Callithrix jacchus: one gene and its partner. The protein of the gene in region 1 interacts with the protein of each later gene in a pairwise test. Links are inferred from orthologs where the notes say so. Each region holds a gene or a part of one and is shown on either strand. Other genes may lie near its edges.

Region 1 (4,592 bases):
AGGCTGACACAGGAGAATCGCTTGAGCCCAGGAGGCAGAGGTTCCAAGTCAGCTGAGACTGAGCCACTGCACTCCAGCCTAGGTGACAGAGCAAGACTCCGTATATATTAAGAAAATAAAGAGTTGCCAGGCACAGTGGGTCACTCCTATAATACCAGCACTCTGGGAGGCAGAGTTCAGAAGTTCAAGACCAGCATGGGCAACATAGTGAGACCTCCTCTCCACAAATAATTTTAAAAATTAGCCAAACAAGGTGGCACGCACCTGAGGTCCCAGCTACTTGGGAGGCTGAGGTGGGAGGCATTTCTGTGGCCCTGACAATCAAGGCTGCAGTGTGTTGTGATTGTGCCACTGCACTCTAGCCTGGGTGACAGAGTGAGACCCCCTTTCAATCAATTAATCAATCAATACACAAACAGATCCAAGGATGCCCATGGATGTGTCACCTACTGCTTTAAGATTCATAATTTCCCCACAATTATTTTAAGTTTGTGTATTCATGTCAATAATAATTTCAAACTAACAGAAACATACTCTAAAGCATTTGATTAGAAGTCAACACTACCACCATGTGATTTCAGTAGGCAGTCCAGAGAATCCATGAACATACTCCCCAGGATCTGAGAACAATCAACATCCTAGTACACTGCTTAGCAGAGTGATGAATGAATATTACTTCCCAGTTTCAAAATCCTCTCAACAACGACCAAAAATTCATCTTTTCAATGAACATTTAAGCACCTACTATGTGGCAGATACTGGAGTAGGAGCCCTGGCTATATTAACATGGGTAAACTAGAGAATGAGTGGAAAAGTAACTGAGAAAATACCCCTGCAACTAGCATTTCCTGTATGGCCTAATCTTACTGCTGCTTGACACCAGAAATTATTAAAAGTCTAGAAGACTATCCATGCAAAACTTTTTGAGTACCAACTTCATTGCCCATAGGATTGTTTCATAATGGGCTCCCAAGAACTTAACTTAGCAAGCTAATAATCATCTTTTAGAAAAGTAATACAGTTGACCCTTCAGCAACAGAGGTTGGAACAAGGCAGGTCCACTTATACACAGACTTATTTCAATACAAGTTGCACTGAGTGTGCCTGCCTCTCCCACTTCCCCTTCCACCTCCTCCATCTCTTCCATCTCAGCCACCCCTGAGACAATCGCTCCTCTTCCTCCTCCTCCACAATCTATTCATGAAGACTATGGGGATGAACACCTTCATGGTGCTCCACTTTCACTCAAGAGCAAATATTTTTTCTCTTCCTTGTGATTTTCTTAACATTTTCCTCTCTCTAGCTTACTTTATTATCATACAGGATATAATACATATAACATACAAAATACATGTTAGTCAACTGTTTATGTATCAGTAAGGCTTCTTTCTGGTCGACAGGAGGCTATTAGGAGTTAAATCCTGGGGGAATAAAATTTACACGGGAATTTCTGACTGCGTGGGCACCCTAACCCCAGCGTTGTTGGAGGGTCAACTGTAGTTCAAAATGGCATTCAGTGCAGGAAATTAAAAACTTGACAAGAAAAAAAGACTAGTTTCTAAAACTTCCAAGAGTTGTTCCAAGTCACACTGGGGGAATCTCTGCTTCTTTCCTTAAATTTATTAACTTTCTACGTAAGCAAACAAGAGGTAAGTACTAAGCAGACATCACTCTTTCTCGTAATACTCTGCGAATCACCAACTTTTAAAAGCACAAAAATCATCCTTGGGAGGATTTTGGCTTTCAGTTGATTTGTCATTAAAGGAGTCAGTTACACAAATCATGGGCCAGTATGTACTAACATTCATAAACAAAACATTATCATGCACTAGGAGACAGATCCATACGTAAGCTCAGAACTAACCTTTCAATACTGCATAGGGCACACAAACGATTTAACTAAAGTGTGGCTAACTTAGAAAAATATTTAAGTGTCCCTTGTAAGTTTACTCACAAATTCACAAAGGCATCAAACTTAAAATTTCCCAGACTTATTAGTATGTTGACCTTTGGCAGATTAAAAATAACTTACTTCCATTCAAAGACGAGTTGTTTCAAGAACTGTTTCTTGGAACTAAGTGTTTATTTAAAAACCTTGGGATACAGCGTTATGCATCAGCAGGCTTCCAGACTGCTGCTGTGCGGATTTGGAGCCGTTGCGCAAGGCCTCAATGGCAGCTACAGCAGGAACTAAGGCTCTTTGCTCAAGCACTCTGAGCCGCCGCTCCTCTATCTGTAAAATGGGGTCACAGGCACCGTCTACCCAAGCGCGAGGATCAAGTCCGTGCACGCAAACGCTGACAACAGTGGCAGGCGCCTTTTAAGCGCTAAGGACAGCCAGAGCGGGATGCATTCCTAGGCAGACAGGTAAAACCTGCCTCCTGTTTGCTTTCCGAGAAATTATCAAATCTCAGAGTGGCAACTACGCACGGCGCGTGAGGGGTACAGTTCCGGCAGACGGGGCGCGGGGTTTGCCCTCTGCAGCCCACACGCTCCGCACCGGCGCAGGTGGGGACGGCAGGGCTGGGAACTGCGGGGATAGGCACAGAGCCCCGCTGGCGCCTGACAGCGGGGGTGGGGGCGGCGGGGCTGGGAACTGCACTGGGTCGCAGGGCCCCGCAGGTGACCGACGGCGCGGGTGGGCGCGGTTGTCCCTTCACAGCTGAGGCCTGGACGGACGCCGCCATCGGCCGCCTCCGCGCGGCTGACGTCCATGCCCCGCTGGCCTTCGGCCAGGCCCTCCATCCTCCCACACATACCTCCTGCCGGCCTGCAGCCCCCCACGGCAGGCAAAGACAGGACCGGGTGGGTCTCGCCGAAGGCTCCGCGACCGCCAGCTGCCGGCACCTCACTTCCGCCCGCCGCGAGCGCCGAGCGCGTAGATCCGCCGGGCAGTCGAGCGCCGAGTCGTCGATGGGAGGAGCCTCCCTGGGAGGGTAGAGGAGGGAGGGGACCCGCGCGGGTACGGGAGGTCAGCAGGGGCCGTGGGCGGTGGATGTAGGACTGCCTTGGATTCCGAGGGACCCAGCCGCCTGAATGGACACGAGTAGGAGGTTTTTGCTGGGAGTCTTTGCAGTGGCGGGAAATGGGGAGCGGCGAGGGAGAAAGAGAAGGATATAAACTCAGGGGGCGGGCCGTGTGCACCATCCATCCCCGAGCCCTCGGTGACCTCAAAGAGGCTGCGAGATGATAGTGCGTTTATGGGGCCACAGTTCACAACGATGGGCCCTGCACTGGGTCAGGGGACCGCTCCGGAACAGGGGGATGCATGGAATCAGAGGGCTGCACCAGGTCAGGAGGCCGTGCCGAGAGCAGAAGAAGCATCGGGTCAGGAGGATGCACTGGAGTGTGCATCCCCAGGGGGCCACACTGGGTAAGGAGGATGCACCAGCTCAAAGGGCTGCACTGGGTCAGAAGGATGCACTGAAGTCAGGGGACTCTACCAGGTCAGGGGCCGCATCAGGTCAAGAGGAGGCACTGGGGTCGGGGCGGGAGCAACATTGAGTCAGGAGCAACCCTGGGTCGGGAGGATGGATGGAGTCAGGAGGCTGCAGGGGTTTAGGGACTGCAGTGGGTCAGGGCGCCGCACCAGGTCAGAGGATGCGCAGAGTCGGAGAGATGCTGGGGATCGGGGATGCATGGAGTCGAGGGGATGCTTGGGTCGGCGGGATGCTCGGGGTCAGGGAGGGGATGCTCCAGGCTGGGGAAATGCACTGGGTCGGCAGGGGGGATACTCGGGGTCTGAGGAATGCACTGGTTAGGGGGGATGCTAAAGGGTCAGGGGGCTATGGCCAAGGAGGAAGGACAATCAGGAAAGTGGGGATCGCAGATTCTGGAAGCTAGATAGTTTCAGGAAGGAGGAATTGATTGACAATGTTCAGAAGTACTGTGAGGCCAAGACTCCAAAGACAACTGAGTTTGGCATATGCCAGTCATTGACATCCTTGACAAAAGCAGTTCAAAGGAGTGTGGGGAACCTACATCTCTCATCAGAGTGGACTGTGAAAAGAATATTAAGTGAAGTGGAAAAACGTGACTTTAGACAACCTGGGTTGGCAGATTTAGCAATAAAAATACAAATACCCAGTAACGTTGAATTTTCAGATAAACAACAAGTAATTTTTAGAGTAGGTATATTGCTAAACTAATGTAGCATGGGATATACATCTACCAAAACATTGTTTTAGTATTAGTGTAAATATGGCCCAAGTATTGCACAGGACATACGTATATTAAATTATTATCAATCTGAAATTCAAATAGATGTTCTGTATTTGTTTTTTTAGACAGAGTCTCACTCTGATGCCAGGCTGGAGTTCAGTGGTGTGATCTCAGTTCACTGCAACCTCTGCCTCCCAGGTTCAGGTGATTCTCCTGCCTCAGCCTCCCAAGTAGCTGGGACTACAGGCACGTGCCACCACACGTGGCTAATTTTTGTATTTTTGATAGAGATGGGGTTTCACCATGTTAGCCAGGATGGTCTCGATCTCCTGACCTCGTGATCCGCCCACCTTGGCCGCTGAAAGTGCTGGGATTACAGGCGTGAGCCACCGTGCCCGGCCCTGTTCTGTATTTTTATCTGGCTACTTTGA
Region 2 (3,812 bases), on another chromosome or scaffold:
AGTACGTGGAAACGTCGGCTAAGACGCGGGCCAACGTGGACAAGGTAGGCATGCATTCTGTGTGCTTCTCAGAAACACACTTGAGAAACAGCAGAATGGAGGCGTCTCACCTGCTAGTTTATATGGGGAACCATTTATGAAAACTAGGCAAAGATTCTGATTTCTCTGAATGTCTAAGCCATGATCATGATTGCAATGAGAAACATTGAGAGGATATCACCCTGTATTTCAAACACCCCCAGAACGTTTCATGTTGTCATGAGGCTTCATTAGAGTAGAGTATGCTTAATGTGTGTGGTTTTTTTTTTAAAGACAAAGTCTTAACTCTGACACAAGGCTGGTGTGGTGTGATCTCAGTTCACTGCAACCTCTGCTTCTTGGGCTCAAGCAATCTTCCTACCTCAGCCTCCCGAGTAGCTGGGACTATAGGTGTGCACCGGCTATTTTTTGTAATTTTTTGTGGAGATGGGGTTTCACCATGTTGCCCAGACTGGTTTCAAATTCCTGGACTCAAGTGATCTGCCCGCCTCAGCCTCCCAAAGTGCCGGGATTACAGGTGTGAGCCACCACACCTGGCTGAGTATACTTACTGTTGATTTGGTCCTGGGAAGGATGGTGGGACAAGACCATTGGTTTGTGAAGGCTGGGCTGGAAGGATGGACCTCCTTAGCTGTGTGTGTGCTCTCACGTTCCACAGCCTTGCTCTTCAGGAGCAGGATGAGCGGGCCTGGCTGCTTCCAGGAGGTTCCCCTGGAGGTTCCCTTGAAAGATACATGGAGCTTCTTGATTTTGCTCTCATTGAGTTATTGGTTAAATTTGTTCTTTTTACCTTACTGTTCACTGACAGAGCCATGGTGGTCTGTCTTTGTAGTGTAGTATCTAAATAGTATTTGCTCCCAGAAATCAACTCTCTGGATCTCTCTTTTTTTTTTTCTCTCTCTTATCCCATCCCAGCATACTTTCTCATTCAAATCTTTGAAACTAATAAAAGGGTGACTTTGAGTGACAATGATGAATGCTGACAATTTGAAAATCCACCTCTCCAGGCTTGCTATTGTCAGGCCTTTTGTCTTTTTAAAATTAAGGTTCAAGGTGGTTGCCACACAGCTAAAATCTTAAAGCTTTACCTTAAAGAGGAGACTTCCCTTCTGCCTTGACCTCGTTCACTAGCTCTCAGTGCACATCCACGCGCTTGCAGAATCTCAGCCCTTTGGCAGCCGCACAGTGGACACGTCTGCTTTTAGTTCTGCAGCATTAGCATCCGGATCCCCCACTCCCGTCTTCTGTTTCTCTTTCTTGTGCAGAAACAATTCCCGTGTGCTTCATTATCTGACAAGGGAGAGATTTTTATCCAAGCTTTATTTTCACTTGAAATGATGCTAGAAGAACGTTGGTGTTTGGAATGTTGGTATTAGAAGGAATTTGCTTTAGATGCACTTTGGCAGTATACATCTATTTGTATGTATCGTACATAAAAACATATATCATAGGTGACATACATATGTGGGATAGATATACATATGGGATATTTATATTCTACAACCGAAGTCCGTTTAGTTTTCGTCTGCTATGTGAGGCGTGTGTTCCTGTCAGCTTTTCTTTAGATTGTCATCTCTCAACGCTTACACTCTTATGTTCTTGTGCTACTTAAAATATTTTTATCAAATTATTTTCCAGCTATGGAAACCACACAGGAAATCCAGAGATATGCCTCATTTTTAATTGGAACTGCGGATGCGTATTAATTGGATGGGTTGTGGTAGGGGGGTGTGTGTTGTAATTTCCCCTCGTCTGCTGGACCAGCTTGACCTGCCAAATGGGAACCAGCAGAAACTTAGGACTGTCAGCATTGTATTCACTTGTAAAGAATTTACGTGAAAGGTGTGATAAGATCAGCCCGTGAACAACTTTGTCATCGTTCTAAGTTGGACGCACTCCATTCCCCTCCTCTCGTCTTGTGCTGTTAGGACAAAAGAAAAAAAAAAGGGAAACCAATAGCATTTGAAGCTGTTCACTGTTGCTGTCACCGGCAGCGCTCTTTCTGGAGAGTGGAGAGGCTGGCGAGAAGGGGTGTTTGGGTTGGCCTGATCCAGCTGGGGCCTGAGGTTCTGAGGTTGGGGGTGCTTTTTTGTGCCTGGAGCTGGTGTTAAATGCATGGGGAGCCCCACACTCCAGAGGCTTGGTCTTGCTTTTCACCAAGAAGAAGGTGTGGCCATGAAGGAGTTTGTGGTATTGTGTGAATGTCCAAAGATAAAGGCTTGTGCTCAGTCCCCCACTTTCAGTCTCCGTCATTCTCTATGAGAAATCTCAAATGTGTCTTCATGAGATTCATATTTTGTCTGCCTGGGTATAATCAGTCCTCTGGCCTGATTGCTGGTAGCAGAGGGCAAAACCCAAACTACTGTGACAAAAGGATAATCCGTATCTAAATAACACACTGACCTTCAAAGGACAAGTCTCGTCAGTTCTTGATAAAGTTCCTCTCAGCTGACATCACAAGGGATGGAGGAGTGGTTATTCCTGAGAATAGAGGCGGGGGAGTGTGCGTGGGGAGGGATAGGGTGGCTAGAAGGACATCACTCATCCTCCATCTTCTCAGTCCCCTAGGGCAGGAGCTTTAGTTGTTGATGCTTTATGCCCTCCTCCTCCTACCCTGCCACCTCCCCAGGGCTACTGTTGTGGACTTCACTGGGAAAGCTGTCATGCAGAATGAGGACCCACCCTCCATGGGGTCCGTGTAAGATTCAATGAGATGCAGAAGTGTAAAGCGTACCTAGGAGCAGGGACTCATCGTGGCATCTTCCCTTTCCTGGAGGTTGGACGTGCTAGAAAGTCTGCTTGCTGTTGTTACTCTCAATATTTGTAAGCTTTGTAAATTTATAGATCTGTTCTATACAAAAACACATTTTATCCTTCATCATACTTATTGTAAGAAAAGATTTTATCATTTTGAAAGCAGCTATTAGGCTGGGTGCAGTGGCTCACGCCTATAATCCCAGCACTTTAGGAGGCCGAGGTGGGTGGATTGCTTGAGCTCAGGAGTTCAAAGACTGGTTTGGGCAACATAGAGAGACCCTGTCTGACTCAAAAAAAAAAAAAAAAAAATGCAGCTGGTACACAGTAATAACAGTATGATGATTCTGTCCCTGGCTTGAGCAGTTGTGTGAGAGATGTTTACTTTCTATAATTAGCATGTTTTTAAGGTTAATTTTGCTTATTTGCCCCAGATCTTTTGTTTTTGTTGACATCTGGTTTACAAAACTAAGTTTGACTTTATGCTTTAAAATATACATATCCATCTTAGTCAGATTATCTCATTGAATCCTTAAATGCTGTGTTCACAGTGTCAGGTTAACAACAACAACAAAATCATTAAATGGCTTTTTCTTCACTATTCTTTTTACTCCTTCCTCCCCATTCCCCAGGTGTTCTTTGACCTTATGCGAGAAATCAGAGCTAAGAAGATGTCAGAAAACAAAGACAAGAATGGCAAGAAAAGCAGCAAGAACAAGAAAAGTTTTAAAGAAAGATGTTGCTTACTATGAATGTCAAGGTGATGGATGAAGCCAGTTGCCCCTAAAGACACAGGGCTGGGTTGGTAAAGAGAAGGCTGTGGTTGACTTCTTGCCTGTGCTTCCCGCTCTCCCCAGCTTCATTCACTCAGACTTCTTGAAATGGAGAAAAATATTTGTGACTCAGTGGCTGGCAGAAGAAATAAGCCCATGCAGTGGAACTGCTGCTTTGTCAGGAGGTCGTGGAGTTTTTTCCTCCCTCCCTTCTTCCTTCCCAAAAGCTTCACTATGTATAAAGTG

The links.
Region 2: the proteins of EXOC2 (region 1) and RALB interact in a two-hybrid assay, tested with the Homo sapiens proteins (2 studies listed by BioGRID). The link is inferred for Callithrix jacchus from reciprocal best matches to the Homo sapiens genes EXOC2 and RALB.

Annotation. Positions count from the first base shown.
Region 1 is NC_133505.1:31,010,951-31,015,542, reverse strand, and holds the start of EXOC2 (exocyst complex component 2), read right to left. Parts: upstream 2,870-4,592; 5' UTR 2,033-2,869; intron 1-2,032. UniProt on the Homo sapiens protein: Component of the exocyst complex involved in the docking of exocytic vesicles with fusion sites on the plasma membrane.
Region 2 is NC_133507.1:104,871,600-104,875,411, forward strand, and holds part of RALB (ras-related protein Ral-B), read left to right. Parts: coding exon 1-44; intron 45-3,425; coding exon 3,426-3,545; 3' UTR 3,546-3,812. UniProt on the Homo sapiens protein: Multifunctional GTPase involved in a variety of cellular processes including gene expression, cell migration, cell proliferation, oncogenic transformation and membrane trafficking.